Alligator mississippiensis: one gene and its partner. The protein of the gene in region 2 interacts with the protein of the main gene of each other region in a pairwise test. Links are inferred from orthologs where the notes say so. Each region holds a gene or a part of one and is shown on either strand. Other genes may lie near its edges. The genes, in order: ZNF410 and TSGA10.

What was found.
Region 1: the proteins of TSGA10 (region 2) and ZNF410 interact in binary tests that used the Homo sapiens proteins (3 or more experiments, as listed by UniProt). The two-hybrid records come from large-scale screens. The link is inferred for Alligator mississippiensis from reciprocal best matches to the Homo sapiens genes TSGA10 and ZNF410.

Annotation. Positions count from the first base shown.
Region 1 is NC_081825.1:260,292,638-260,308,859, forward strand, and holds the start of ZNF410 (zinc finger protein 410), read left to right. Parts: upstream 1-8,100; 5' UTR 8,101-8,241; intron 8,242-10,584; 5' UTR 10,585-10,742; coding exon 10,743-10,775; intron 10,776-14,374; coding exon 14,375-14,510; intron 14,511-14,799; coding exon 14,800-15,018; intron 15,019-15,299; coding exon 15,300-15,491; intron 15,492-16,222. Other genes in the region: FBXO33 (F-box only protein 33), read right to left, coding at 4,410-4,852. UniProt on the Homo sapiens protein: Transcription factor that binds to the sequence motif 5'-CATCCCATAATA-3', and is specifically required to silence expression of fetal hemoglobin in adult erythroid cells.
Region 2 is NC_081824.1:342,978,727-342,994,982, forward strand, and holds the start of TSGA10 (testis-specific gene 10 protein), read right to left. Parts: upstream 7,445-16,256; 5' UTR 7,287-7,444; coding exon 7,239-7,286; intron 4,220-7,238; coding exon 4,100-4,219; intron 1-4,099. UniProt on the Homo sapiens protein: Plays a role in spermatogenesis. When overexpressed, prevents nuclear localization of HIF1A.

The DNA of each region.
Region 1 (16,222 bases), on a different chromosome or scaffold from region 2:
CCGTACTAATTCCCACAGCTGAACTCTCCTTATTACCCAAACCCCCTTTCCCTTGAAATCCTATGAACAAACTTCTAAACTTGGGGAGAACTGTTACCACTCACCTTTAAGGATTAACCTTGCTCTAGAATAATCAGGAGCTCATTACCACCTATCTTGCATACTGCTGTGTTTCTTCAGGGCAAGATAAACTGTGAATCAGTGTCCAAGGGCAGAATGCAAGCCACAAGGCAACTGTTTTAAACACTTGTCTTTAACTCTCAGTATTATTATTTTTTTGTTTCTGGCTTATTCAACAACAACAAGCCTGGTGTACTACCTGTTTAATTTTGAAACAGAAAAGCAGCATGTAAATGAATAGAGGGGGAAAAAAGAAAAGGAGAGGAAGGAGCAACTCAAAAATACCAAACACTGGCAATGTGAATAAAAATTGGATTTCATTTCTGAAAATGTATGCAAAATTCTATAGCAAAATACCAGAAGAGGAGTTGTTTCTGTTTTATATCCTGCATCATTCTTGAGCTCTTAAAGCCATAACCTTAACCATGGAATACAACTCAAAAGAAGAGCATTTTATGATAGGAAGTGAGGAAGCTAGTAAGATTTATATTTTAGTGAAACTGCAGTATTTTTCATTTCGGATTGCCATATATTTATTTTAGAAGCCATTGTTTAAAATTTGTGATTTGGCTAATTTACCAGGTAACTTTTAAGCCCACGTTATTGCAATAAGCTTTAATACAGAAGCATAACAGCTACATGCAACTCCAGAAGGTATTCCACTGCATAAAAATTTCCAGGGTACAACCTGCCAATATTATAATATAGAGCTGGAAACCAGCATATGTCACTCATTCTGCCAGTTCTATTCAATACTCTTACTATGGTTTTTGTGCATATTGTGTTTGGAATAATGTGTGAAGCTATACATTTCAGAGACTTTACTGAACTGCTGGAGTTAAATATAAGAAGGATTCATAGGAGAGTCTTCACATCAAGGGACACCTGGCTGCTTCTTAGCAACAAAATAAACCTCCTTTTGCCAAGGGACCTTTAAGTGGCAAGGCATTTTTCCACCACAATCCACTTGATAGGAAAAAAACTGCAGGGACCTCCTATATAAAACATGTTTTAATTTTAAACTGTACTGGTATATGGCAAAAAGGAAAGTATTTTACTAAATTTTTAAAGCATTCATCAATATGAAAAAGGGTTTAAAATGTATATTTAAAATCCTAAGGCAATTTAAGAGTCAATTAAGAAGCTTCCAAACTAACACAAGAATGATGTTTATAGACATGGGATAATGGATAGCAATGATTCAGTAGCAAAAATTCAGTAATGCTATACTGGGTATCACAAACTGTTAGTGGGGATTTTTCACTTGGGCATAGGGCTCAGGAAATCAATTTACATTAAGTTCAATGTTGCCATAATTGTCAACTACTGCATTTAGTTATATTCTTATAAAAATATATTCTTTATTACTTTATTATCAAAGTGACAGAAACTGGGAAGTCTCCTGTTCAATAGATTCGAGAAGTTGAAAAAAAAGAAATCAATTCAGGCAGCAGTGTCTGCCTCAAATACCTCTGACAGTTACTGAAGTGTCACCATCACTTCAACATTTTTCACTTAGGGGTTGACAGGAGGTGAATTTTCCACAAGCAAGCTAACAGGTAAAAACTTCTGAATAACAGCATACCTCAACAGCAAGACAACTCTGCATTATTAGTAAGTGGAAGGAGAGAGTGCAAGGGATGTACTAAATATAAAAGTGAGGGCCCTTAACTCAGACCTCAAGCAGATTTGAGGCTTTCAGAAACAAGCTTTGTGACTCTAAGCTATTTCCCTTCCAGCACAGGAAGTACTTGTGAGCTAACTGCATTAAAGTGAAAGCAAGATATTTCTCACCTGCCAAATATATACTTATCTCTAACCAAGGAAGGATCATATTCAATATTCTTTAGCTACTACTTAGAGTAAAAGACATTTCTTCCAAGGTCACAGAAGAGCAATTTGAGTTTTCTGAATCGTTGTGCTCAAACTTCTTGAAGCCTCTCAATCTTGACCTGTGTTAGAGTGACTCAAGCTTACATTTAGAGCAGTAGTTCTCAATATTTTTAGACTCACAGCACCTCTCAGGTCTTATACTTTTCCTTGTTTTTTGATTACAGAAAAATAAAACAACTCTTCTGTTACAAGGAACTCAGAAAGACCATGACAGGTCAAAATGTTTTTAACACTACAGATTCATATTTGAAATCCGTGCGTATCATGTTTGCACACCTAACAGCCCAAACACTGTGTGGCACCCCGCAGCACTCTCGAAAGGGTAAAGGCATCCCAGGATGCTATGGCACCCTTGCTGACAATCACTGATTTAGAGCTTTCTCTCCCTTTTGTGTGACAACAAGGGAATAATATTCCTTATTTCATATCCTGAGAACTGGTATCAAAGCACACGCAGAAAGGTATGTGAGCACCTCACATTTTTTTTATATTTATTGTAATCACAACCTTGTGAATTCAAGGAATTACTATTATTACTGTTCTAAAGATTGAAAGGGCTGCAGCTCAGAAAAACTGAATACCTAGGTCACCAAGGAAGTCTATGGCAAAACAGAACACAGCCCGTCTCCTAAATCCCAGGCTAGAAGTCTAACCATCTCCCTCTGTCTTTCCAGGACTCTCTTATTCTCTTTGATCTCAAGAAGTCATACATTTCTTTAAATATATTTCTCTCTGAGTAAATAAGCTTCCCTGTATAAGACCAAAAAATTTAAGAATTTGCAGTATATCAAAAGACAGCCATCATTATAATTACACATTATTTTTCGGTAACAAGATTACATAGCAACTAAAGAGTCTAACTAGCTTAAATTTCGTATTTACTGTGGAAACAATCCCCCTAGCCCTGCACACTACCAATACAGCGCGCACACTACTTTCAGCATGCCATATCTGCTTACGCACAAAGAAGAAATATAAAGGAGCACAATCTGAAACTTTTGCATAGAACAGTCTTTTTAGATTTATCAGAGTTCAAACTTATAAATTCTGACCCCCTTCTACTGATGCCAGATCTCTTGTTCCTGACAAAAATCAATCCTTGCACAGCTCCAACTGTCCTTGTCACGTGCACAATGGGTCACTCGTAAGTGAATCCACATCTATGCCTTGTTTTATATTGATATTCTACAGCTAGCATGATAATACAATGCAAGATGTTTGTACTGCTTTAAACAGCATAACCATCACCCTGCCCAATACCAAACTCCTCAAAAGCACTAAGTTGACAAGTTGTTAATACAGGATCTGTCTACACATTTCAATTAAAGCTGGATAGAACTAAACTAGAGTCAATACACATTTTCAAGCATTAATTGTGTAGCTGGCCAGCTCTTCTTACAGTTGAACTGTCATTTTTATTGAGTGATAATTACTTTGCACATGGGGGCAGGCTAAACATATTGCACAATTCATCAGTTGCATGACAATTACTTTGCTCTTGTGGCCAGTCTTACTTTGCATGTGTGGCTGGTCTAAGGGTACCCTATGATCCACCAGCTGCTAAATAAGACCAGATGCAAGGGCAAAGTAATTATCACGCAACTAGTGAATCGCACAATACATTCAAACTGGCCTCATGTGCAAAGCAAGACTAGCCACAAGGGCAAAGTGACTGTCATGCGTGTGTCTGGTCTAAACGTACATTTAAATTCACCACTTGCATGATATTGATGGTTATGCTGTTTAAAGCAATTCACCACTTGCATGATATTTATATTTTGTCCTTGTGGTGGGTCTTAGTCTGTACATGAGGCTGGTCTAAAAGCAGTGCGTGACTGAGCAGGCAATTGCGTGATATATGCAACGTGTGGTGGGCTCAGTAGTTCAAAGAGCGAGTACCATAGGAATTGGAAATATATCAAGCCTGTCACAGGTCCCAACAATGATTTCATACAATTCCTCACACCCCGGCTTTCATCTGCATGGTCTCCCTCCTGCTCTCATGAATCTCTGCCTGTTTTCTTTTTACCTGCCCCATGAAATCAACTGCCATACCCCCAATAGCCCTTCCCATAACAGGGAGGCTAACTGCTGTCCAGTGGGCCTCAAGCACATGTTAACCTCATAGGTCAAACAGGCCCGTTCTCCCAAAGACAGCGCAGCACCTAACTACAAAGGAGCAAGACCTTCAGGGCTTCCTGCTGCCTCAGCTGCAGGAGTCCTTTCCTGGTGCCGGGCCCCCTGAGGCAACAGGGGGTGATTTTGCTCTCCTCAGCTCTCGGCCAGGCCTCCCCCGAGCAGTGGGGCTCCCACCTCTCCCCTGGCAGCTTCCCGGGCCCTCGAGGGGGAGGGAAGGCGCCAGGGCCCCGCCGGAGCGGGCGAGGCGGGGCCACTACCTGTTGTGGCGGACGCTGCTCAGCACGCACAGCACCAGCTCCAGGTAGGTCCTCAGCAGCTCCAGCCAGCGCGGGCACAGCGGCGTCTCCCCGTCGGCCGCTGCCGCCCCCGGCCCCGCCACCGCGCCGTCGCCCACCAGGCCGCCCCCCCCGCCGCCGCCGCCGCCGCTGGGGTAGTTGTCGGCGGCGAACTGGACGCGCAGCTCCCGCACGAACCAGCCGCACTTGCGCATGAGGAAGTCGAGGCGCGGGCGCTCGGCGGGGCAGACACGCAGGCTGAGGCGCAGCCGGGGCCACAGCGCTGGGTAGAAGAGGCACTCGCGCCAGTGCGAGCAGGCGGCCGAGGCCCGCAGCCGGTCGGGCGCCGCCAGGAAGGAGAAGATGTGCACCACCAGCTCGCTGGGCAGGGAGCCGGCGCCCACCGCCCCGCCGCACACCGACATCCCCGGCGCGGGCCCGGGCCCCGGCCCCGGCCCCGCTGCAACCCCCGCGCGGCACCGGCCCGGCCTCGGCCTCCTGCCGCAACAACAACAACATCAATGACAAGGCGGGGGGAGGGGCGGGGCCGCCGCCGCTCACCCGCTGCCGGCGCGAACCACCCCTGCGGGCGGGCGGGGGGGGCCAAAGAGGCGGGTGAGAGAGGGGAACGTACCACCGGGCTACGGGGGGAGGGCATGGCACCTGCTGCCAATGGATAGGCGGGAACCTACCAACTCACTCAAGAATCTAGCTGAGAGCAGCGGAGATGCTACAGGCGGGTGAAAGGCAGCGGAGGAGTGGGGGGAAACCCATCAGTGGTTGCAGATTGTGGGGAAAAGGAATTCTTCCCTCCCCCCGCTCACAGAGGGATGGAACCGACTGCCCGACAAGCCGGGGCTGGGAGGGTGGAACCTACCATCAAATCAGCTGCGAGGAGGGCGCGCCCAGACTCGCTGGGGGGAGGGTTGGACTAAACCATTTGGAGTGGACGGAGAGGGGAACAGGACGCTGCCACCTCACTGTGGGGCGGTGCAGGGGCCGGAGCGGCTGCGGCCGCGGGGTCTGCCCTGTCCAAGGGGCAACCTCGGGGGCCTGGCCGCCTTGAAGAGCCGGGATCCCCAGCGGGGGCTGTGGGACAGAGCGGGCGGTGCTGGGGGGGCGGCTCGATGCACGAGATAAACTCAGGGATTCACGCAGGAATCCGGGGTCCAAGCCGCTCCGCCCGCTGCGGCCTTTCTGAGGCCTTTGCAGAAGAAGAGCTGCTCTAGTATTTTCCCGCAGTCAAACGCCCAGTGAGACATAAGAGCTGGGATTGCCCGAGGGGACCTCGGGGCTGCTGCCGCGGAGGAGAGGAAGGCGCAGGGGACTGGGCTCAGGCAGTCTTCCCCTCAGCTCCTGGTGCTGTTTCCTGGCACTGGCACCAAACACTGGGAGCCCCGGAAAATTACTCCAGCAGCTGGTAGCTCCCACTGTAGAGCCGCCTGCCAGACAAGTCCTCAGCTCCCCAGCCCGAGCAGAACAACTTCCGCAGGCCCTCAAAGGGATAGGCATGGATCTCCTGCCTCTGGGGCACTGCTTTAGCATCTGCCCAACTACCCAGAGCGCTTGGCTGATGGCGAGTCAGGTTAAGGGGTCTTGGTACAACAGAGTGAAGGCTCCAGGTTTTATGAACTTCCTGGGTCAGTATTTGTAGACTGCTGAGGTGGTATCAAAGCAAAGGTGTCCCTTGCTCTGTGATTGTAGATCACTGGGCTGGTATCAAAAGGAACCTTTGAGGTTTCTTGTTCAGCCACTGAGGTGCGCTGGGAGGACACCAAAAGGACCAACTCCTGTGTGAATGTTTATTTAGCACCTCTAGCTTCCTGGGATGATGCTAAGGCTCCAGGCTGCTCTGTGTTCAGTGGCTCATTGCCTCTAGTTTGCTGGTTTGATGTGGAAGGAGACATCTCTGACTTAAAACTACAACTTGGTGGGATGATATCCAGGCTGTGACCTTTGTGACTGACCTACTTGAATGAAAAAGGCCATGGGCCCAGCCCACTAAAAATCGAGGGCCACCACTGGTTGGGTGGCCAGAGCCTTTAAAAATTCAACTGATTACCGGGGACAAATCATAAGAAAACAGGGTGTGCACGTGCAGGGTTAAAGGGCCAAAACAAGTGCTCCCTGGCGGGGACGCCAAGCAGAGCACACCAGACAGAGCCCACCGGCCCTTGAACTCAGCTAGAGTGCCGGCGGCTACCGCCCAGCGATGCTCCACTTGGAGACGTGCACGCAGGACACTGAGGAAAAACACCCCAAGGTCTCCGGGAAGACCTTTGTGACTGATTTGCAGTTTCTGCTAAGGCACGGGCCTTTGTGAGATCACTTAGTCACAGACCCTTTGGCCAGGCCCATTGAGGCAGATAACCGTAAGGTTACTGATTTAGGACCTATAGCTTGTTTATCTGACAGGTAGAGAGGTAGTTAGCTGTTAGTCTCAAGTCAGGGCCTGTCCTGCCTTCCACCTCGCTTATCTGGTGTCACGCTGAGAGCTCTGTGGTTTTTGATATAACTCCTTGGTGAAGAGCAGTGCCTCAGCTCTACTGACTAGCTAGTCTAATTTCAAGGCAGAGGTTCTGTGAATCAGATTTAGCAGCTGCAAATTGCTAAGGAGAAGCTCTATGTGGCCACCGGCTTAGCATATGTAGGTCACCTGCTTGATGACAATGAGCAGGCTTCTGTGAACAGACTGATCCCATTCCCACAGGTTAGATTGTTTCTGCTCATTCAGTAAACTCCCACCTCTAGCTTGCTGGTCTGATATCAAGATATAAACCTTGGTGTCTTCTAGCTTATCAGCTGAAGCTTGCTGTACATCAAGACCCAGTGGTACAAGGATCCCTGTTTCAGAAACTTGTCTTACTCGGTGGGTCAAGACGCACATTGCTAAGAGTTGTCCTGCTTGCTTCCTCTCTGGCTTGCTTTTGCTGAAATTAAGGCACAGGATTTCATAAGGTCACTGGGTCATCCCTTCTGGTTTCCCCTGCTATGCTAACCTAGTGACCCAATGCAAAACCACAGCTCTGCTTCCCTCAGTGCAGGAACTGGCTCAGACCTAGTTGTTAAGCTGAACGATCCTGTTGGTTCAACGTGCGCCAACTTGTGGCAAGATGACAGACACCGACCGCATCCTCTGTTCTCAGGAAGGGCGCTTAACTAGGAGACAGGACCCCGGTGCAGCGAGGCGGCCGGCTTCTGGCAAGGCTGTGGTCCCTCTGATTCTACCCTGTCTAAAAAATAGGGTTAAGTGTCTTTGCTTTCTGGAGAGCTCCTGAGAACTGGATCCGTGGGGCCAGTGGAGGCGGGCGGGCAGCCACAGACCGAGCAGCCTTTGCCACCAGAGTAGCCGCGGGCTGAGCAGCCCCAGGGAGAGGGGCCGCGCCGAGAAGCCGCAGGGCTCTGCCGGCGCAGCCCTGGCTCGTACCCCAGGAGCTCGTCCGCTCCTGGAGTCCCACGATCACAAGCGCCGCAGGCGACAGATCCTGCCCGGGCCCGGGCTCGGGGCACGGAGCGCTCAGGACCCACGCCTGGCGGCGACAGGGTTAACGGCTCCAAGACACCGAGCCCAGGAAGCCCCGCCCACCGGCCTTCCCGCCAAGGGGCGGTGTCGGAACTACGGGTGCCAGGATGTTGCCATTCTTGCTCCCGGAAACAGGAACCGGAAGCAGTTGCGGTCACCTGTCGGGATGGGGCGGACGTGGGCTACAGAGACCGCCGTCCGCGCACTAGAAGGGCTCTCGGACCATAGAGCTGGCCCCCCAGCATTTCCGGTCTGGTGACGGCGTCACATCCGGGCGGTTCTGAGATGCCGGTAAGACTCGTGGGGGCGCGGAGGCCCGCGAGGCCGGCCTCGTCCCTGTCCGTGTCCCCTAGGAGCGGCTCGAGCCCCCCATACCCCTGGTCTGAGGGGAGCCGACCTCGTTTGGGGGCGCCTGCGCCTTCCTCTCCCTGCGTCCTGACTGGCGGCCTCGGCTCCCGCCCCCCATTTCGGGCAGTACCCACCCCCACTCCGGCCCTGTCACGGGGCAGCTGCAGCCCGCGCCGGGCTCGGTGTCGCGGGAGCAGAGCGGCCGGAGGGCCCCCCAACGCAGCCCCGTCGCTGCGCCTCGGAGCTTCGGGCTCCCTGCCCCTTTCCTCCTCGGGGGTGGCCCCTACTGCCTCTGCGTCCCGGCAGGGGCACAGGCTTGGGTGGGTGTTCAAGCCCCTGAGACGTAGTTAGCCCTATTAGCCTGAGGGCGAGTAGGGGGTAGGGACATTCTCACCTTGCAGTTTAACCCGGGCTCGTGCATGCGCTCTGGCCAGCCTGTAGCAAGTTCCCAACCTCTTCAGATTCAAGGCAGCTCTTGGAAAACGCTACATGTTAGTTTTCCCTCTTTTTTTTCGAATCTAGAAAAATGATAGAGTTGTCTTCTTAGTTGCTGAGAACTTAGGCTACAGCCAGGGAATTCCTGTTTCAAATCTCTGGGTTTATCTTGTGAATTATGGCTGCTCACAGCCATGAAAAAAAACCCCTAAAAGGGTGCTTTCCTTCCAGCTGGGCACACCCCAACACCAAGCACTGTGCATGCCCAGAAGAGGCATTGCATTAGTTGGACCTGGCTCACCCAATGTCTGTATAAATCAGGTGATTTTATCTAATAGCCAGTTGAATCAGCTATTTGATAAAATCAGTTACTAGGTAAGTGCCAAAAAGCTCTGCTGAAGCACCCAATTTATACAGGTGCTGCGGAGCCAGGTTGAACTAATGTACTTGCTTCTCTTTTAGTTAAGTGCTGGTTTTCTTGTTTTTTTTTTTCCCCACATCTGTCTGTCCCATGTTTGCAAACCAAACAGTGTTTAACGTTGTGCAGCACTGCATGCTAGCCTTGAAAGCATCTCAAGGCATCCCAGAGTCCTGTGGCACCCTGGTTTACGATCACTGGTCTGTAAGGTGCAAATCTTCCCTCTGTCTTTTGTTAAAGTCACTGGCTAGAAGGGGAGGATGGTCCCACAAGTTTGCAGTTTGAAAAATAACATGAGGCAAAACCTTAGGAAGAACACTGGCACCCTGGGTCTTGGCTTTATTTTCATTTATTGTGACTATTTATTTATGTGTTATGCTAATTCAGTCCAAGGCACCCAGTGGGAGATGCCAGTTCTTGGCTTCTCTTTGGTTTTGACTATGGAAAAAGAATAGAGCAATTTTTCTGTTGCAAATACTTCATAAAGCCCACAACAGGTCAGAATGTTTTTGACACTATGGATTCCTGTTGGGTTTATCTTCTGAATCGTGTGGGTGTTTGCACACCTAAAAGTGTTAATATTGCGCAGCACCCTGCAGCACCCTTAAAAGGATCTCACGACACGCTAGTTAAGATTTGCTGCCCTAAAACATGTTACTTATAGATATATCCTGTAAAGCTGACAGGGAGAACCTTCTTCACATACCAAAGTTTCCATACTAGGAAGAGAAGCAGAACATCATATCTATTAGGCTTTGGTGGGGACTGTAGTTGTCAGCAAAAGAGGTCACCTCTTTACATTGACTTCCATTATTAAGTCAAGCACTTGCAAGTGTGTAAAAGTAGGAACAAAAATAGATTTTTTTTTTAATCTATCTTCCTGTCCTGCAGAAGAAACAACTTGTTTAGTTTAAAAATTGGGGAAATTGCATGAGAGAGAACTTAACTCAGTGGTATCTGTGATTATTGAGAATTTGTTAACAACCAGAAAATCAATGAATATGAGAAGGAGGGTTGAGTGTTCATGATGAGTTCTGTGAGAGTGGGTATTCAATTTGTTTGTGCAGTGGAAAAGCTCAGGCTCTCACAGCATAAACATACTCAAACATTAGGGATCCTGCACACTTTAAATGGGCCTCAAATGGCCTGGCAACGTTTTTCTGGACATTAACGATAGCAACTATTGCTTTTTGCTACCCTATGGATTTTCAAATTGCTTAAATACAAGAGAAGAATGTTCTTTTAAATTGAACTTTGGTTTACATTGTTTTTTTGAGCATTTGAATGCCATGAATACCTAGGCAGATGAGAGAACTCAGAGACCATCCAAGTCAAGAGAAATGTTTATGTTCAATAGTAATAATTTCTTGAAGTCTGATTCTTTGGTCCATGGATGATAGCTGCTCACATTTTCGTTTTCTTCTTTGTTTTAGGTTAAATTGAATATCTGCCAAGCACAATTTCTTGCAGGAAGATCACCACACTGCTTGAAGGCTAGCTAATATGAGAATAACCCCAAGGGACTGTTCACTCTGAATTTTAAACTCTGTGCCTTGTCCAGGACAGCTGCAGGAATCGGAAACTTGAATCAATGTTATCAGATGAGTTAGAGTCCAAACCAGAGGTGAGGGACTATAAATTGGGTTCAATTCCAGTTGGGTTCCTATTTTGAGATACATTATCTGCTAGATAGAGAACTGTATTTGCCATTTGGCTCTGAATTCTCAAAAAAGTCTTAATTTTAGCGGACGGTGGACGTATCCCATGATTTTAAGAGCGCAGAATATTTTTCAGTTGTATTTTAAAACTGTTTTTTGTTTTTTTTTTGATTGACTGATTGGTACAAATCCAAAGGGGCATGTTAGTGTATGGGTGTTTTTCTTTTATTTTGCTTTCTTGCTTGTTTTTAAGTTTGAGCAAAGTTCCTTTGTCCATCTTTGGAGTACAATAACAATGTGAGAACATACTTTTCCCACTATGAAAAAAGCTGTTGTATCAGTTTCTTTCCCTGTACCTGCACTGACACTTCTAGAAGTTTGGAATTTTGAATATTTCAGAAGTTCCCATTCTCCATAGAGAAACGTGGTTTTGTGTGTTACTTATGACTCCTGCCAAGTTGCCTGGCAAAAACCTAAGACTATTACATATCTTCTTAAAGTGACTTTCTTATGTGAGCAATTGCAGAAGTTGTCAACAAGATGTTAGTGATGATAAATGGCGGGGGGGGGGCTGTTACTTAGCTAATAAGATGTGCCTGTTCTGTGAAAATATTAGACTGTTCCTGAATTATTTGTGGGGTGGAGTGGGAGGGGCTATTTGTTGTTCATGAGGAAGGATTTAAAAAATGCAATTTGTTGTTTAAGCTTGTCTCTGGCACCCATAGGTGACAAAGTTGGGGTTAACAGGGCTTAATCCCCACAAATACAGCTCCAGTTGCAGCACCACCATGCCCTGCTGCCACAGTACTGTGCCCAGTACCCCTGCTGTGCACTCCTCTGCTGTGTACAGCAGCAGTGTGTGTTGGCCCCACCACGGCCATAGAGGAGGGAGGGGAGGGGGTCAGGCGGCATGCTCTGCACTGTGCCCTGTACCACTGCCAGCCCATCCAATAATATTTTCTCCCAACGTGTATACTGGCAGCTCTTGTAATGGGAGAGATTTATATTCTTGCCTTTTGATGCTGCTTAGCCCAGTTTGTTTTGTAGAATTCTTGGTTGCCATTATATAGAAAAAAAGTCAGAAGTTCCAGCTCTGGGATGAGGGGTGGGAATCCTCTGCTGTTTTGGTATTTGACTGCCTTTTGCTGCTCTGTGTGGGTAGACTTTTGAGCCAAAGGAGAAGGAAATTTTTATTTAAAACTGCTTCATGTAATAGAATAAGATTGGATAGGACAAGACATAATTCATAGAATGTCCTGTATGTATTTCCAATCTGTGCAGGTGATAGAAGGGATTATGGCTAGCATGTGAATAAATGTGAAATATTAAATCTTTGAAACTGGAAATAGCCTGATAACTTTTGACTCCAGGCAGTTTTGCTGTACAGATTGTTCCTGTTCCCTCTTACTGGTTTTGTTACACCCCCCATGTTGTACCTTGTCTTTAAATTAGCATAAAATCTTTCCAGGAGGAAATCTCTTCCTCGGTGCTTGTAGAGCACCTAACGGATTGGGTCCCTCATCAGACTGAGGTTTCTGCATAATCCTGTACTATCAGTAATAGTTAGTAAGGTTGATCTTTTAAACTTGAGGTCTGGCTTCGGACTCAGTTCATGTGGTATATTACCATGTGAGTGACAACAATATTTCTGAGAGGTAGGGAAGTATTAGGAAGCATCATATTTCCGTTGATAAAATGGGAAGTATTGAGCACAAAAATTTATAGTCCAAAATTTCAAGTATCTATTCATTTTTGGTGCTGTTTGAGGCTCAATCTTAAGACACCTAAAGCCTGACTCAAAATAGCAGCGGCAGCAGCTCCCATTTGCTTCTCCAAACTGAGGGAAGCAGTTGCGCAGCAGTTCTAAATCAAGCCCTTGAAGTGTCTCAGTGTGCACCCAGAAATAAGGAGCATGCAATCAGTACCTCCTTAAAAAAAATAAAATAAAAAAAAAATAAAATAAAAGGGACTTGCTTACCATCTCGTAATAGACCAGTGGTGGAGCCAGGCCCCAGCCTACAGTGTGAATCACTAGAAGAGACCATGATTTCTCTATATGCATCCTCCTTGCTGCAGTCATTACATAACTTCCACCGTCTTCATTAAGAAAGGAGAATTCCTGTAGTCAGCCTTATTCTCTACACAATCTAGAGAATAAGAGCTGTTCATGAACATGGCATTAAAGGCTACGCGTCTGTTACCAGAACATGACTGTATTATGTTGTGGAATTTCGTATCTTAAATGGAAAAAAATAACTGCATTTATTTATTTATTTATGGGCTCTGCTTGTGACAAGAAGATTCTTCCATAGGCCTGAGCTCAGGGAACTGAATTAAGACTTGTGATTGTGAATGCTGTTTTGTTTTTTAACAATCTTTTTTTCAATCCATGGGTCTCAAAGTAATCCTGTAAACACACCTTCACAAAGTAATCAATTTTACTTACCTTGAGGTCAATCATACAGGTTTGGCCTCTTCTTTCTGAGAGGTAGCATGGATGAGGTCTGTGTTTTCTCTCTGCCAGAAATGACCTCATGCAGCCTATCTGATCCAGAGGGACTCAGTTCCCCTCAGGATGGGGGTCTGTGGTCTTTTCAGTTATGAAATGCCCAGAATAATTAACACAAGACATTGGAAAAGGGGGCCTGGACCTCCTGATCTTGTTGCTCTCAGCCTGCTGCTTCCTTCATTAAATTAGAGTAGTTTAATACAGGGGAGGATTGTATCGGTAGTGATGGCATCAGTAAAAGGAGGAGAATCCATTTTTCCCACCTCTGTCCTAGAGGCAGAGCTCTGTGCTTTCATTCTGGAATGACACCAGAAGCTCAGGAATGTGTATGGTAGTGTGGCAGGAGTTTGAACTCTGAGATGCCGTGCAGAAAGGATGCATAAACATTGTATACACTTTGGTGCTCCAGACTTGGACCAAATGCAGGCAGACTGTCAGACGGACTGAAAAGGCACTTGTTTGTCTATAAGACATTTCTTGTCAGGCTTCAGATTCCTGCTCCAGATTCTTGAAACACAATAGTTGTCCAAAAAGGGGTCTGTCAGTCTGCTTGTCTTTTCAGTTTAGTTTTTTACATGGGAAATTTACCTTTTTCTCTTTGGAAGAGAATTGGTTGAACTGCCTTCAGTTAAGCTTAAAACACTCAACCTGAGCATGGAAAATTTTTTGACTTGGAAGTTTTGATCTTGACAAAATAACGAAGGGCAAAAAAATGAAAGTTAAAATGGAAATGATTCAGTAGCCTTAATAATAGACATAACTACCTCTGCTAGTAATTCAGACCTTGATTATATTTTTAAGTAAAAGTTAGGTTCCCCCCCCCATGAGCTATATACATGTATACTTGTATTTATGTAAAGTAGGCAGAGCCACTGAATCTATTAAGTTGATAGACTTCCACTGACTTCAGGCTGCTGCACTAGGTTCTGTGCATGGTACAGCACAGTGGAAGGTTAACACCAAATTTTCAGGTGTTTCGTTGGACTCTGTAGAATGCAGTAAATGGATTTAGCAGTAAGTAAATCAGTCTCTTCTATCCTCTTTTTTTTGTTCCAGCTGCTGGTTCAGTTTGTTCAGAACACATCTATTCCACTGGGTCAAGGGCTGGTGGAATCAGAACCTAAAGACATCACCTGTCTCTCCCTTCTTCCTGTCACTGAGACATCAGAATGCAACAGACTGATGTTGCCAGGTAAGATCTACAGTACAGAATCTTAGGGGCATACCATTTGTATAGCTATGACTAGTGTGCTGCTGCAGTACGCTGCCTCTGCTTCTTGCTGGAAAAGGGCCCCAGTGCCAAAGGGACATATTCTGAAGAAGTGTTGGCACTTTTCTCAATAGTGGTGAAGGTTTACTACTTTAGTATGTTTTTCCCCCAAGCTTTCTCTTTTAAACTATTGAGTTATTTCCACAATGTTTTTGCTGAGGGGGTATAATTAAACTTTTATTCTTTCCCCTACTCTCCTTTTCTTCATTAGATGATTCTCCAAGTCATGATAACTCCTCCAAAGATGTTCCCTCATCTGCTGTCTTGAGAAGTCTCCAGGTAAATGTGGGCCCTGATGGAGAGGAGACAAGGGCACAGAATGTACAGAAACCCTCTGAGCTCCTGTCAAGTCCAGAGACTTCCAGCTTATTACAGGACCTTCAGCCCAGTGACAGCACTTCTTTTATTCTCCTCAACCTAACAAGAGCAGGTAATTCTTCTATTTGTCATTTGGCAGGCTGGGTCTCAAAGAAGAGAATGCAGGCTATCCATGTACAGCTCTGCCCCTGTTGTTGGAAAGATCATGACATTTGCTGGGCATTGTTGGGTATATTAGAGCCTGTAGCTGTCAGCAGATTCTTGCAATATAGGTGTTAGTGGAGTCTTTCTGTGCAAATATTATGTCTGTACCACAAACACTAGCTTCTGGGAAGCAGGAAAGATGCTCCTCTCATCACATTCTTTGTCTCAGTCAGCTGCCTTTTCTTCTAGGCCTGGGCTCTCCAGCAGAGCACCTTGTGTTTGTGCAGGATGAAGCAGAAGATTCTGGAAATGATTTTCTCTCCCATGACAGCACAGACAGCAGTACTCCATGGTTTCTACGAGTACAGGAGCTAGCCCATGACAGTTTGATTGCAGCCACTAGGGCACAGCTCGCAAAGAACGCCAAAGCAAGCAATAATGGTAGGAGACTTCCTCTTTCTATTTGAAATGTTGAATCTTCTGCAAAAAGCAAGTAGCAGCAGCTGTTTCAGTGTTATCTATCACATTGCAAGATGGTTAATAAGTACACAGAGTCAGTATGTATGTCACTATTTAGTAACTTTAGCCAAGGTTATATTGAGGGTTTCAGTTAAAGCAAGGCTTCAGTGTCTCTAACTGGACACCATTATTGGCACTATTTTTGGCGCAGACTTAAGTTTCTGGGAAATATGTCTACAGCTGGGATTTAAAGCAGTTTTTCAACTTAAACACCTACCTGGACAGAGGGGAACAGAGCAAAGCTATTTTTATCAACATCATCTGCAGTGAATAATGATGCAGAGCAGTCTTATGACCTCTCTACGGTGTCTTTTGTATTCCTCAGGTTTTTTTTTATTTATATTTCTGGGAACCCAGTTGTCAACAGTTCTCTTGCAAGTTTCCAGCTTTTTATCTACAGCTAATTGCTCTTCAAGTCTACTTTTAAGCTCGCTAGTGTTCAATTTATTTATTGCCTGCCGTTGTTTATGTTCCTTACTGTACCCTCATTAGGTCCTGGGGGGGTCAAGGTTTTGGGGGTTTTTTTTTGGGGGGGGGGGGGGGTTAAGGAAAGCTGTTTGAACTCTAAATTTTTAATTTTATGTAGGTACATATGTAGTTCTCAGAACAAGGGATATGTTGCGGCATCTGGTTACCAGACAGGGTAATCAGGA
Region 2 (16,256 bases):
CTGGGGGGAGGGTGGGAAGGGAGCAGGGAGCAGAGGCTACAGACTTTGGGCCTGAATTTATGCAGAAGTTCACTCATCAATGGCCCTTTGGTAACAGATGAGAATGCAGTGTGATGCAGATAGTACTGGATGTGTCAACTTCATTCAATTCCATTAACTATAATGTTTTATACAGATGCCTTCAGAAATTAGCACCAGTGGACAGAACTATCTTCAAGCTATTCTATTTGTAACCTGGGAACACCCAAAGGTGTGATCATCCTCAATTGGAAAGGACAGATGAGGCAGGGAATAGTGCTGTGAGAGGGACACAGGTGATTTCAGCACAGGTCCCTCTTTCTTCTATAGAGTCAACTCCACACCAATGCTCTTAACTATTTACAGTTTACTAAATCATAATATTCATATTATTTCTTATTCAATATATGTATAGATAAATACTCTAACAGGTAACAAAGGAAAACGTTCCGAAAATATTCTTAGCAGTATCTTTTAACACCAAAGGTATACAGATGGATATTTACAATATGATAAGCCAAAAACCCATTATACCAAACTAACCCAATCCCGTGACATTTTGTACAACATATTCATAATTATAATAACAATTATACAAAATATGAGGCGCAGTCTTACACGACATGAGGTGCATTTACCTCTGGATCCCAGCTAGCAAGGGGTGCTCCCCCTTCTATGGGTCTAGCTGGGAGGGAAACTTTCACCCAGGGCTTCCCTCGGGGTGTGGGGAGGGGTTACCTTATTTCAGGAATGCCTCCCCTGAGGGACCCGACTCTGCCAGCAACTTAGTTTCCTTCGAGGAGCTGTTGACCATACCTCAGAGCCCTTCGCTCAATCAGAGGCCCCACCAGCATTGTCTGTGTCACTCCAGGACCTCCCCTCCTGGCCCTGTGCCCCACTTTGGGCACCGAGGGTTCTTCCAGCTCTCGTGGGGACGCAACCTAGCCACTGCTGGCTGGGTTTACCTGGCCTTATGCCTAGACCTCCCCTTTCCTGGGCCCTGCTCTAGGCTCCAGGGCTCTTTTAGTTCTTTGGGCAGGTCACACTGCAGGGCTCCAGCTATCCAGCTTACACCAGGGCTAACCTGAGCAGCCTCAGGCTGCTCCCAGGGCAGGTTCTCTGTGTGCCGGACTGCACAACGTGTGGGGCCCCGAGCAGCCTTGAGCTACTCCCAGGGCCAGCTCCCCATTTGCCAACCTGCACACCACTCTGTCCAGCCCTCTGCTGAGGATGCAGGCTCGAGCTGCCTCAACGTGGCTCCCAGAGCCTGAGCCTTGTGCGCTGGCCTGTGCATTGCTGGGATGAAGAAGGGATCCCGTGGAGGCTCTTCCCTCTCCAACGTCCCTTGCCATTTCTGCCCAGCGTGCTGCTTTTATTTACACTGGAGGTCCCACCCCTGAAGTCTGCCAGACCTGCAAAGAGCAGACTTCAAACAGGTCCAGGGGCTCCTTGCTCCCCCACCCCCAAGAAGGGGCAGGGCTAGCCCCTCCCAGCTGTTACTCGATTGGTAGAAATGTTCCACCAATCCAAAGTGTCCTTCTCCATGCTGGGCTTGCTGGGCAAAAGCAGCACATATTTATTCTTATCTAGGAAGTTCCAAACAATTGGGACACACACTCTTCCACCTGGAGGGAGCTCTCATGGGAGGTTCTTCAGAGGTTAATTTATCATCTCTGTAGTTCAGCATGTATATAAGGATATTAGGAGAATTAATGATGAATTATGAGTTGTTGCATGTAATGAGAATCATCATGTGATCTGGCTGATATAATGGAACAAATAATTCTGTACAGCTATGAACTTGGAGAATAGATGTGTGCAAAGTGGCCAGTTCTTAAATAAGACAAACCCAGGTAATGATGGAAAAGGCACCAGAAAAATTGACTAGGTTGGTACCTGCAAGAAGGGATGCTGCTGTACATTGGGTCCTCTGGGAAGGTCCAACTAGTGTTGAATCAGATAATTAGGTTTGGAAAGGACCTTAGGAGGTCATCTAGTCCAACCCCCTGCTCAAAGCAGGACCATCCCCAACTAGATCATCCCAGCCAAGGCTTTGCCTAGCTGGGTCTTAAAACCCTCCGAGGATGGAGATGCCGCAACTTCTCTGGGTAACCTGTTTCAGTGTTTTACTACCTTCCTAGTGAGAAAGTTTTCCCTGATATCCAATCTAAACTTCCCTTGCTGCAACTTGAGACCACTGTTATTTGTTCTATCATCTGCCACCACTGAGAACAGTTCAGCTCCATCCTCTTTGGAACTCCTCTTCCAAAGGTTATTATTAAATCCCATCAGAATGTCAATGTCTGTTCATTTACTTACAGACTATGTACAGCACGCACAACAATATTCATATCTGGTAGCCATGCTAGAACCCAAGAGGTTAGTTTTAACCTCTAAACCCCAAAATGTTTCAAAGCCCAATTAACTGAGAAAATCCCTCCTTCAGTCACCGCCCCCTCCCTGAGACAGCTGAGATTGGCAACAGTATTTGAATTGGAACTTCCTTGGTATAAATTAAGAGTTTCCATAAATATTATCCCAGACTCTGTAATTAGTTTCCCTCCTTGGTCATCAGGATCATGGATCTGTTTATTGTTCATGCTGCCATCTTTTCTCAGATGCACATAAGGGCTCAAAACTGAGAATAGTTTAGGTTAGAGTCAGTGGTGATGCGCAGGGGGTGCACGTGCATCCCCTTATTGCACTGGTGCATCCCCCGACAGCCAGCACTCCCCACTTAGGTGACAGGTTGGGGGGGGGAGGCAGCGGTGCTCCCCCTGTGAGTACCAGCCAGAGAGTGGGGGCACCAGGAGAAGCATCACTGGCACTTCTGGGTGCCCCGCTTGTGCTTCCCAGTCAGCCCAGTGATCAGCCACAGGGGCCTCCCCCTGCAAGCTGGTGAGCTCGGCCACGGTCACTGACTGCCCACGGGGGGGGGGGGGGGGGCTGGCGGCCACATGCCCCCCTGACTCAGGAAGTACCAGTTGCCCCTGGTTAGAGCTGTCCAACTCATGGCCTGAGCTATCCAACTCAAGGCCGCATAAAGCCTCTGAGAGGTTTGCCTGTGGCCCTAGAGGCTCCTAATCCAGGTGCAGCAGTCCCCACTACTCTGCTGCTGCTGCCACCAGAGTCTTTGGGCTCACTGTCTCTCTCCTGGCTTTTGCTTCCTTCTCCACACCTGGGGGCAGGGCAGGGTGGCCAGCTTGTAGGGCCGGAGTGGCCTGCCAGTGGGCTTGGGGGGACCCAAAACCCATGCAGCATGGGGTCACCAGCACAGTATAGTGTCTGCCATATGGTGTGCAGCCTGGAGGTGTGCAGTCCATGCAACATTGGCCTGGGGTGCCTGCAGCCCCCAGCCACTCAGAAGTTGGACAGCCCTGGTTTAGATGAAGTCTTAAAGTATGGTAGGGTAGAATTATTTTACTTTTTATGGAAGAACATAGAAACTTGAAAATATCCAACTAAACATTCATGACTAACTTAAATTTCAGAAGGTGTCTACAACTCTGTGAACTGAGATAAAAACGGATACATGTATTAACTTTAAAGCATCATTTATAACAATTTAAATGGAACACTGGTAATTACGTCACTGCTGATCATTTTTAGTTGAAACATCCAAATACTTTTGGCCTTGGCTATAGCTTAGAAGCACCCCTTCCACTGGTTGCTAATTTTGAGGAGACACATCTCCTATCCAATACCCAAGAGAAATTAAAGTAGTAAGCATCAAATGACTATGCAAACAGCAACACGCTGAGTTTTTGTTTGATTTACAAAGTTCAAGCAAGGATTAAATTGTAGAGGTTAGTAGCATAACATGATGAAAAATGCCATGATGCAAATATAACAGGATATCTTGTCATGAGTGTTTTGGATCTTCAACTTCATTCAGTAGCAAAGTAGTTTGCCATCTCTTCACTGTTTAATACCCATCTAAATTATAATGGTTACTTTTGGGCTATAACTTCAGTATGTAAGATTTTCAACATCCTTGTTTCCTACAAAATGCTACAATAGCAAAAAATGTAATGCAGAAAAATAAAACAACTTTTGTAATACAGAAAAGTAAAAACCGAACCTGTGAATTCAATTTATGGATTATTTTGTCTTTGTTCGTAATCTTGCTTTCCAGATTAGAAGATCTCTCACTTTCAAAAGCTCGATCCCCTAAATCAAAATCATCTCCTCTTCTTGTTACCTTTTGAGAGAATAGAAAACATGAAGTACTGTACTTCTGCATTTTAGAAAGGCATGCTGCATGGAGTAACAGAGTGAGCCTTGAAAATGGGAGAAAACATATGCTTAGATACTTCATAACAACAGAAAACAACCTATTTGCCCTCAAGCCACAATTGGCACAGCCACACAATTTACTACAATGTAACTGAGGGTAGAGGGGATTTACAGCACATCAGTTACTCCACAGTAATTGCCCATGTGCACACTTTGATCCATCAGGAAAAGAAAGCGAACCCAAAGTAGCTTGCCTCTTGCTTACTCTGGGGTAATTTGTTCATGTGCTTATGTTGTATAACATCATCTTAAGATAAAAATGTTCAAGTTTAAGAACCAAAGATACTTGAAATAAAATCTGTAAATTTCACTTTTGAAAAGCAAATAAAAATATGACTGATATTGAGATTAACCAGGTGCTTCAGTGGAAGGCTTGCCCTGTAAAAGCAGGACCTAGAATTTGATCCAACTCCAATGAAAGCACTAAATTGGTCCCTCAAGTGGAATAATACAAAAGAACTCAAGGACTAGAGTAAACCAAGCTACTCTTAAAATTAATCCTTTTGTTTTATGCATCTTAAGCAATGAAAGCAATCAGCTGTCATTCTCAAAAAGAGTAAAACAAAGATCAGTATAGTTTGCATATGAACAATACTTTAAAAAAATCATACTAAAGGAGGGGTGTCAAAATATGGCTCAACCCACAGTGCTGCCCATGGATCTCTGACTGGTCCCATGCACCATATGCGGCATGTGTTGGCTCTGGCCCTGCATACTGCACATGGCACACAGAGCCTGTCTGACATGAGCTCCATGCAGTGTGTGGGGCCAGTCCAGGACATGTTCTGCACATGGCTGACCTGGATCAGGCCCACACACAGAATATAGTGTATAGGGCGAATCTGGAGCAGCCTATGGGTGCAGCACATGGGGCTGGGGCCAGCACACGCTGCTTGTGGTACGCACGAGTGGAATCAGAATGCTTGCTCTGCACAGTGCATAGGGCCAGTACAGGGTGTGTGCTACAAGCGGCACACGTCAGACCAGCCCTGTGCACTGGCCCTGATGCACAGGGCTGGACTGTAAACCTGATCCAGCCCACAGACCAGACCAGCACCCCTCATCTGGCCTATGGGACCAAATAAGTTGGATACCCCTGCACTAAATGAGAGAAAAGGAATGACACAAAATAGTACCTCTCAGAAGCTATTTATTGTTTAATTCTTCTGAATAAGCCAATTCCTTCAGCAAAACAAGACTGATTATTCCAGTATGATTCAAAATTGAGTGAATGGGGGATGTGCGCATCAAAAATATGCTCTGAACCTGCAAACATTTACGAAAGTGCTTAATTTAACATTTGAACATGATCATTTACCAGATTGAGCTCTCATAGATAACTGTGGAGCAGTGATGATCAGGTGTACTGAATGGTATATATAGCTCAGGTGTCTAACTCACCCCACCCCCCCAGAGCTGGATTCAGACCACAGGGCTCTTCATAGGTCAAGGGTGGAGGAAGGGGGCTTGAGGGGCAGCAGTCATTTTCCTCTGCAGCTGACATGCCTCCCCAACCGGGCTCTGTGCCCCAGACTTCCACTTGCCCTGCCCCTGAATTCCTGGTCTCTCTGGGAGCCCCACAGGCCTGAGCCATACATTTGACACCCCTGAAAGAGCCAAATTCAAGGATCTCAAAGGAGATGACACAGCAGGGAGAGGCTATGATTTTTCAGAGGCAGACCTGAGATAACCACTGAAATTATATTGAAAAACTTTAGAAAAGGTCTTGCCACGAACTCACTGACAAATCTGACCAAACATGGTCAAACAACTCTTACACAAATACAGAAAAAAAAGAAGATAAATGCTAGCAATTCCAGACCTGGTCATTTTCTTTGGATTCAATAGGGCTTTGTTAGGAGCTTCAATGACCAGGACCCCAAATTTATTCAAATCACTCACTCCACTTTTTTCACTGCTTTATGCTAATCCTTTTACAGCACTGAATTAAGTCAATGAGTTCACAAAAGCTTCTGCTTTATATACATATACATTATTTAGTTAGTCTAAAAGTGCAAATTCTACCTTGACTCCAAACTAACATCTAACTACCTTTCCCCAGAGGTGGGCAAACTATATCTGTCCAACCTCCCCCCCACAAAAAAAACAACCCCAAAACAAACCAACCAAAAAACCAAAGCAAAGCAAAAAAACCCGTGGTTTCTCTGCAAAAAGGAAGCTCAAGGCTGTGGTTCTCAACTTTTGACTTGAGGCACCCCCGGTGAAACAAGGGTCCCAATGGGAAATGCCAGCTCTGAGCTCCCATTTGTCTTTTCACTATACAGAAAAATAATCGAGCAACTCTTCAGTTGCAAAGGACTCAGAAAGCCGGCATCAGGTCAGAGCAGTTTTGACGCTATGGAGATTCCTATTTGAAATCTCCGGGCTTCTCTAGTGAATCATGTGTAGAGGCTTGCATGCCCAAGAGTGCGAATTGTGTGCGGCACCCTAAAATTAAGGCGTGCCACCCCAGGTTCTTCCACTGCGTGTCCTTGCTTGGGAAGCATCAGGTTAAACTAAACAGCCAAGCAGAAGAAGCGCTGTTGGAAAAGGAGCTACGTTGCCCTTTTTTTCACTGGGGAGAGCTCAGAAAGACCACACCGGGACAGGCTGCTGCTAAGGCAGCTTGTGCTTTAGCTTGCAAATCAGGTTTGCGCACCGGACAGCGCTGATGCGGTACGGCAGGCATCCCGCGGCACCCGTCAAAGGCGCTCAGGGCAGCCCCGGGGCTGCAGTCTCCTTGTGGAGAGTCACTGCCCCCAGGTCTGACAGGGGCCTGCACAAGGGCAAGGAGAAGGAAAGGAAAGGAGCAAAAGGGAAGGGAAGGAGGAGAAGGGGAGGAGAAGCAGCAGAACAGCCGCATGTGCCCGGTCACAGCCGCCCCCGCCCCGGGGGCAGCTAGCCCGGGCGGGGGGGGCACCTACCTGCAGGCGGCTACCCGCTCCCCGCCGCTGCCGCCGCCGCCCGCTCATGCCGCCCGCCCCGCCGAGGTGTGCACGCGTGTGGGGGAGGGGGGGTCAGTGTCAGCCCCACCCCGCGGTACCTGCGCGGTCCCCTCCGCGCCCCGCCCCCCAACGGCCGCCCGCGCTCTGCCCCGTCGGGGGAGAGGAGGGGAGGGGCGCAGGGCTGGCGCGAGGGGCCTTGAGGCGCGGCTCCCGCCTTACCGCCAGGATGGGCCGCGCGGCAGTTGGGTTGCCCGGCGCCCGTTGCCATGACGGCAGCGCGCTCGGGGCTGCAGCCCGCCTCGTGTTCCCGGCTCCTTTTGCAAAGCTCCTGTGCGCGCAAGTGCAAGCTGCTCGCGATGGGCTGGGCAGCGCCGAGCACTGGAAGTGCACCAGGCACGCGCAGGGCTCTTGGGTAAATCTGAGCTCTTCATTAAGTCCTTGTGCACATTGATACTTTAATAACTCAGGTTGGAGGTATGATTGAAACAATCGGTGAACGGCATTTAAAAGCAAATTTATTAAAGTTTTAGGACCACTGGAGTACACAGGGCTAGACTTCATAAGTAATAACAAGTTTATTCTTATTTCAGATTGACAAACGAAAAATGGCTACGGTAGTGTAGATGAGAAGTTAAAGTGTGGCCTGTGGCTAGCAGAATTGAAGTCTGTATCAGCTGTGAGAAGAAAATGGTGGTTATGTTGAAGTCTAGCATTGTGTAGTGTAGTGGTCCTAAAACTTTAGTAAATTTGCTTTTTAATGCCGCTTACAGGTTGTTTCTATCATACCTACAACCTAAATTATTAAAGTTTAAAAGTGTACAAGGACTTTATGAAGACCCTGTATTAGGCCAATTACAACAGTTGAGAAAATTTGTCTCTGGGGTACAAACACCCTTCTTCATCTGAAGATATAATTTTACATTAGTAAGTATTTCAGCTGAAGAAGGGTGTTTGTACCCCAAAGCTTGCAGAGATGATTTTTTCCAACTATTTGAGCTGGTCTAATGAGATCAGATTTACCCAAGAAACCTTGTCTGCCTGTGTGCTTAGAGCAGGGGCAGGCAATTATTTCAGGTGGAGGGCCGGTTACTGAGTTTTGGCAAGCCGTGGAGGGCCGCATGACAGGCAGCCAGGGGCAGATAAATATTAATTTTCTAAATTTTTTAGGGGCCCCGCGGGCCGGATAGAATGACCTGGCGGGCTGCATCTGGCCTGCGGGCCGCATTTTGCTCACCCCTAGCTTTGACCAACACGGCTGTAACCAACACCCCAGACATGTATGTTCATGCATAAAAATGTAGAAGAATCCCCACGGAGCTAGTGTGCAGCCCAGAATAAGGAGCTGGGAGTAGGCTGGGATTAGGGGCAAAATCCTTTTCAGGTCATCCCAGACTACACGTCACCCCCTGAGGGTTTCTTTGATGAATGCCAGGCAGGAGACGCATGGTTTGGGGTTACACAGAAAGGGACTATGGAGCAAAATCCAGCCTAATCTCAGCTCTTTATTCAGGGCCATGTGTTTGATCCACAATACTATTTTACGTGAGTAAATATTTCTTCTTCAGCAATCCGTCATAGTGAAGGATTCCTGTCTTCCAGAATTACCTTACCTGTGGGTCAACGATGGCTGACGAGGCCAACATGGGATTCACACGCTCCACTGCAACTCGGGCATGTGTTTGCATGCAGCGTGGGTGGCTCTGGATTCTTGGTTTGGTCTGTGACATGCTGTTTCTGCAGCTCCCACATGTGTCTCCTGTTGTCATCCTAAGATTTCCAAGTACGGAGATCCTTGCAACAGGCTGCTCCTCCATTTGGGGCAATCCTGGGTGATAGTCTCCCATGAGTTGGATGTTGATGTTGCATTTTTTCTAGTTGGCCTTGAGGATGTCCTTGAAGTGCTTTCTCTGCCCTCCTCTTGAGTGTCCACCTTGACTGAGCTGAGAGAGTAAAACGTGCTTCAGGAGTCTGGAGTTGGACATGCAGATGATGAGTCTAACTCAGAGAAGTCAATGTTGGATGATCATGGCCTTGAGGCTCATGGTGCTTGCTTGCAAGAGGATGCTAACGTTGATGTGTCTGTCTTCCCACTGGATAGATTTTGGATGAAATTCTAACTCTTTAGCATGTCTAATTCATTATTAACAACTTTTAATTGTGTAAAGATTAGCTTTGAAAAAGGAACCAGGAATAAGTAACTAACTTCATTCAGCCTCATGAGGGGCAGCCAATGCTGCTGCTGCTGCAGGGGGAGGCCTGTGTCCCTGACAGCGCCGTACCTAGACTCCTGGCAGCCCTGGGCAAACTTTTAGTATTGGGCCCCCCTTCCCCATTGACCAACCTGACGGTGGGTGGTTGGACCCTGAAAAGTGCTGTGCGAACAGGCCAGGAACGAAAGGGTTACGGGACCTTGTTTCTCCTTCTCTTATCTCTCTTCCCGTTGACAGAAAAACAATTAAGGAAGCGGTGTAACAGATAAATGCTTTACTCACACTTTCGTATAGGTGGTTTCCGTTACAGCAGTTTCAAGATTAAACTCGCTGGTGACTCGAGAGCTCTAAACACGTTCGAATGATATACTCGGTCGTGGTGGGGCGTCCGGGGAGGAAGGGATTTCGTGGACGCAGGACCTCCGGTGAAGGTGATCAGGCCTCTCTGATATGGCGCGGGTCCTCTGTTCCCTTTTTGGTGCACGCGCTTTCTTTTTTAAATGGGCTGCATCTGCCCACCCCCTGCCAATCAGCGCGGGCCGGGACCGCCAATCTCGTGGCTATCAGGCCGCGCCCACCACTTCCCCCATGCCATGAGCACAACTTTCTGTCATGTTTGGCATTTGGTCATAATTTTTTTTTTTTTACTTTATCACATGCCCCCTTGACCAAATGCCAATTTCAGACATGTTTAAGCTCGAGAACCTCTTCTCCTATAGCGAGTAAGTGGGTATATACAAAATTGAAACGTACAAAATACAGCATCTAATACAAATACATAATAAGGATCAAAAGTGTAAACTTTCACTCAAGACTTGCAAATAAGTCAGATAGTTAGTCAGTACTGAATCCAACCGCGTCTGTCTAGATGCAGCACGGCGGTTTTTGCCGGAGTCGTCGCCAATGGGTTCACTCATGGCAACAGTTGTCCCGAATACGAGTTTCACACCATGTCAGGCATCGGCGACTTCATACCGTTTTAGGCTGGAAAACAAAACTTGGGGTTCGTTAGTAATGTATACTAAACTGTGCTACGTCGACTTAGCCAATTATGGTGGGCCAAGACAGTGCGTGCGGGTGAGACTGCTTCAAGAGAGACAAAATAGGTATTTGGGTACTCGCCAGGTTTAAGTACAACACCGGGAGCTGGAGTTGGGCGCTTGCTGGTAGCTGTGGGAATGGCTAGCCACACTGTTTCTTGGGATGAGTAACATGGCTTCCAAGGCGGACGTGGCACCGGGGTACGTTCATCCCACAAAGCTTTAGTGGCGTTCATGGCAATTAGTACATCATTGTTGTACTTAGTCCAATTCTTGAACGATCCATTTTCCTTTAACCTTAACTGTTCCTTGTATAGTCCTATCTGGCGCTCCACGATGCCATTGGACTGCGGGTGATAGGGTAGATGGTGATGCCATTGAACATTATGCTGTATCGCGAACCGCTCTAAGCCTTTGGAGTTAAAAGGTGGTCCTCCATCGGAGTGTAGGATGTGGGGCACTTGCCAATGGGCGAAAGCGAGCTGTAGGCATCCTTGAATTACGGGAGTGGTGGTCTTCCTCGTGGGGAGGACGAGAATTTGACGGGTTCCCAGGTCTACGATTACTAGCCCCTTTTTTGGTGGCTTGGCTCCTGGGAGTTTCCTGAGCAGGTCCACTTGCCACACCTTGCCTGGAGCAAAGTGTGCCAGGTCATAGGCGCCCTTTTGGTGCTTGTAGTGCACTGGTTTTTCTCGCACACAGGCAGAGCAGGCTTGGATTATTCTTTTCCATTGTTCTACGCTCGGTCCTTCGTCGCTTTGCTCCCTCCAGCGAGCTTGTGCCCTTTTTGCTCCAAGGTGTCCCCAACGCTCGTGGAGCCAAGCGAGAAAGGGGTCGGTGTCTATGATGTCAATGGCGTGTAACTGAGGTACGTCCTTTTGGTTCACGGGTCCTCGGTGTGCCAGTAGCTGATCTATGACAGCATGTACGGGGTCCGTGTCAGGTCGGTGAGAGCGCGTGTGCTTGATTAAGGGGCAAACAGAGAAACGTAGTAAAGTGGCCTTGACATCGTCCCAGAGAGTGGTGTGTTCCGTAACTTGTGCCATTCCAGTGACAATTTTGTATACGGCTGTGACGGGTACCGGAAGCGTCCCATCGTGGTGACGGTAGGTGTGTTCAAGAGCTAGTTGAAAGCCTCGTAGTTCAGATGCTTGGACCGACTCTCCTGGATGGGACGTTTGGAGCTCATAGTCGTGACAGGGGTCACAATAATATCCATATCCTCCGCCATCACGGGATGTACCATCGGAAGCTATCCACGCTGGGGATGTGGTCCCATACAATCGTAGTACAGTGGGATCATCTTCTTCGGCGGCCGGAATCATTTCTCTGTCAGCGACTTGCCACACCGACCAGTGATACTGGTGACGAAGGACTAGGGCACTCCAAGTTTTTGCCGTGCCCTGATACTCCGGGTGGATTTTACTAGAGTTAAGTAATCCCAGTGTGGTGGCGCCGGGTGCAACCAGTACACCTGGGCTCGTCACGAGGTGTTCTCCTAGTTGAGCCACAAGCATGACCTTCCCTAGACAACCATACCGATGTTGGTGGCTTTTGAGTGTGCGGTGACTGGTGTACGTGAGTTTTCCTGTTTTGGCGTCACTGGCTGTAAACCAGATATGTTCCGTGGTGTAGCCCACGTGAATTGTCAGGAGATTGCCGGCGGGGGGTGCGATCAGACGCATCTTTTTAATCTCTATCATGACGTTTTCCAGCGCGGCTTGGTCACGCTCACTCCATGGAACTCTGCGTCGTGTTTTCTTGCGAATTTGGTGTTGTAACCGTTGGACAACTTTTAAATGTGATGGCGTTATGAAATTGTGGAACCAATTCAGCTGGCCTAGTAGGCCTTGAAAGTCTGTCTGTGTGGTTGGCCAAGGCGAGGACAACTCAGGGGTAGCATTGTGTGCTGTCCCTGACCGCCATTGTCCTGTGAATCGTGTCCCCAAAAACTTAATGTCCGAGGATGGCTCGCTCATGGACTTGGCCGGGTTTACCGTCCATCCTTGATCGCTCAGGTGGTCCTTTAGGTCCACAGTGGTGGCGCGGACCGCGGTACGATCGTGCCTCATGATGACAATGTCGTCGACATAGGTCCAGATGTGAACATCTGCGGTCTTTGGGCGGGGACAAACAAAGCTGTCGATCGTCCCATTCATAGATTCATAGATTCATAGATTCATAGATGTTAGGGTCGGAAGGGACCTCAATAGATCATCGAGTCTGACCCCCTGCATAGGCAGGAAAGAGTGCTGGGTCTAGATGACCCCAGCTAGATGCCTATCTAACCTCCTCTTGAAGACCCCCAGGGTAGGGGAGAGCACCACCTCCCTTGGGAGCCCGTTCCAGACCTTGGCCACTCTAACTGTGAAGAAGTTCTTCCTAATGTCCAATCTAAATCTGCTCTCTGCTAGCTTGTGGCCATTATTTCTTGTAACCCCCGGGGACGCCTTGGTGAATAAATCCTGACCAATTCCCTTCTGTGCCCCCGTAATGAACTTATAGGCAGCCACGAGGTCGTCTCTCAACCTTCTCTTGCGGAGGCTGAAAAGGTCCAGTTTCTCTAGTCTCTCCTCGTGGGGCTTGGTCTGCAGGCCCTTAACCATACGAGTGGCCCTTCTCTGGACCCTCTCCAGGTTATCCGCATCCCTCTTGAATTGCGGTGCCCAGAATTACACGCAGTACTCCAACTGTGGTCTGACCAGCGCCCGATAGAGGGGAAGTATCACCTCCTTGGACCTATTCGTCATGCATCTGCTGATGCACAATAAAGTGCCATTGGCTTTTCTGATGGCTTTGTCACACTGTGACTCATGTTCATCTTGGAGTCCACTAGGACTCCAAGATCCCTTTCCACTTCCGTGCTACCCAGCAGGTCATTCCCTAGGCTGTAGGTGTGCTGGACAAAGCAGTCTTGAGGGGTAGGTGCTAGACTGTTTAGACTTGCTCAGACTGAGCAGTCTCAAACTGTTTAGCCTTGAGGCATGGGTGGATTTAGGATTAGAAAAGGGGAGAGGGGTGCAGATGCTGAGGGGCATCATCCCATGTAACAGCACCTATTTTTCTCTTCATAGAAAGAAACCAGAAGCTTTACTCATAGGTCAGGGGCCCAGGGCTATGTTATTCAATTTAAGAGGGAAGTGAAAACTCCTTGGAATGAGTTAAAACCAGGCTGTGAACTGGGAGCTCCATGAGCAAAAGTAGCTACCAGGCAGTGGAGCTGCAGAAAAAAAGGCCTACTTGAGTGATGGAGCATCAAGAGTGTGTGTATATCTATCTATCTATCGATCAATTGATCGATCGATCGATAGGAAGAGGGGCTTAAGACCTGTGGAAGGAAGAGTGCAGAAGGGATTGGGTAAATTATAATGAGCCAGGAAGTCAAATGATTCCCTCAGCACTGCCTGACTTAAAAAGCTGCTGCCATTGCCACTGGTTGATTTAAATTGTGGGTGGATCAGGAATCTAAAGGGAGCACAACTGCACCAGGACATGCCCTCTCCCCCACATCTGCCCCTGCCTCAAGGCATCCTTTGATAGACTCAAGACATCCCTGAGAAAATGCCGGTGATTAGTTTTCAATCTCTTTTTGACTACAGAAAAATGACAGCAATTCTTCTGTTGAAAAGAACTCAAGGCTGACTCCAGCAGGGCAGGATGTTTTTGTGGCCCTACAGATTTGTATTTGAAATCCCTGGATTTATCTTATGAATCATGTTTGCTAACACTGTGCAGCATCCCATGACACTTGAAAAGATCTCAAGGCACCCCAGGGTGAGAGAGTCACTGTGCTAGACACGTGTTTACCAAAGAGGCTGAAATGTCCACCTGTAGCAAGATTAGAAAAGAGAGTTTTCCAAACAACCTGTTGTCACAGTAACTCTATGACTCGAAAGGACAAGCTTCAGTTATTAACCTGTTGTCTGATAAATTGTCCAGAGAATCAGTTGAGAAATCATCCTCAGCCCTTGGGAAAAACATGAGACTGTCCCAAGCCCTATTACTACTATCCTTGTCATCAAAAAGGTAATTTCAGTGTTCAGAAATGAGCCCAGTTAATTTGTGGGAGTGTCGGAGGAATGCTGTGAATTTGTACAGCTCGTTTAGAATGGATCTAAAGTGCACAGGTTCTACATGTGAAATTGATAACATGTAAAAATGGTTGTATTCAGTTTATTGACATTTTTCTTATTTTTATAGCAGATTTTTATAGCAAAACACCATTACTGATTAACCAATCAACATTGACACAGAAGTTCCCAACTGTGGACCACTGGTCATCTAGGAGGCCATAGCAAGTGGTCAGTAGATTGCATGAGGCTCCAGGTGCTTTATGATCATAGTATCATAGTGCTTAGGGTTGGAAGGGACCTAAACAGATCATCAGGTCCAACCCCCTGCCCTGGGCAGGAACAGGTGCCGGGATCATATCACCCCAGCCAAATCTCTGTCCAGCCTCCTCTTGAAGATCCCCAAGGTAGGAGAGAGTACCACCTCACTTGGGAGCCCATTCCAGAGCGTGGCAGCCCTAAATGTAAAGTAACGTCTCCCGATGTCCAGTCTGAATTATGATGTTTTCCAGTTAAAGTTTGGTGACAAGAGTGCATGGTGGTGTGCAAGAAATATTAAAGGTTGACACTGGCTCACTGGTTCAGCAAGTCAGGGAACCATTAGACTTGAAGGATGATGAAAAATAAGAGTTATCTTTCCTGAACAGTGGAATAACACATTGTCACTGTGTCTCTGACACATCCCTCTTATCACCAGTGTTCCTAAAATGTTTAGATTTATATAACTATTTTGGTGCAGAATAAGCAGTGATGAGGAATGTCAATGAGTGGCATGTAGGTCTGGAGGCTTGGTAGAAGAGAAATGGGAAATACTAGGAAGAGAGGGTTTGAAAAGGTTGTAAGAAGATGGGGGCTAAAAAAAAGGGGAATTAAAAAATTGAGTAAGGGGAGGGACACTGGAAACAGAAAGCAAAGATCCGCCTGACATTCTCTCCTCACAGGGTTCTGCTTCTCTAAGGGGATCTGATACCCCTTCTTTCCCCAGGCCTGGGACAGGGGGAAGGCTCTTTTATGTTTGTTTGTTTGTTTGTTTAAGAGGAACATTAAATATATTAAACCCAACCTTTTTACTGTCACTAACTGCCTGATGAAAAGGTTACATACAAATGCTTGATATTGTCATGTGACATTGCAATCAGCACTAATGCTATTCAAATTAATTTCTTCGATAGTATTTCCTGCAGTGGGTTGCAAAGGATATTTAATTTTTGACATAGCGAATGTGACACTGTAAGTCTTTTGAGCAGCCTAAAATAGTAAACATGCAAACTCCACAGACCACATTTCTTCTGTATTTCCTTCAGTGTCACTTCCAAAGCTGTCTCAGTTATGGCTGTTATGCCTGCAGCATTTACAGCTGTACAATTAGGAAAGAAATAAGATTTTAGAGGTAAACCTAAGAAATCACCCAGAAATCTTAATTTGAGGTAAAGAAACTGAGAGTAACTAGGTATGTAGTTTTACAGGATACCCTAAACTATCAAGGTAAAATCTCACATTGAAGGGTGAAAAAACATAGAGCATTATTCATATAAACTTCATGTAAAGACTTAAATTTTCCTTATTTTTATTTTTAAATGGGCTTTTTAAGCTTTACAGTATATTTTCTCTGTCAAAATACAGAATTTGCTTCAAGCTCTGTCTTGTAGTTTATTTGATGTTTTCCATGTTAGCTGG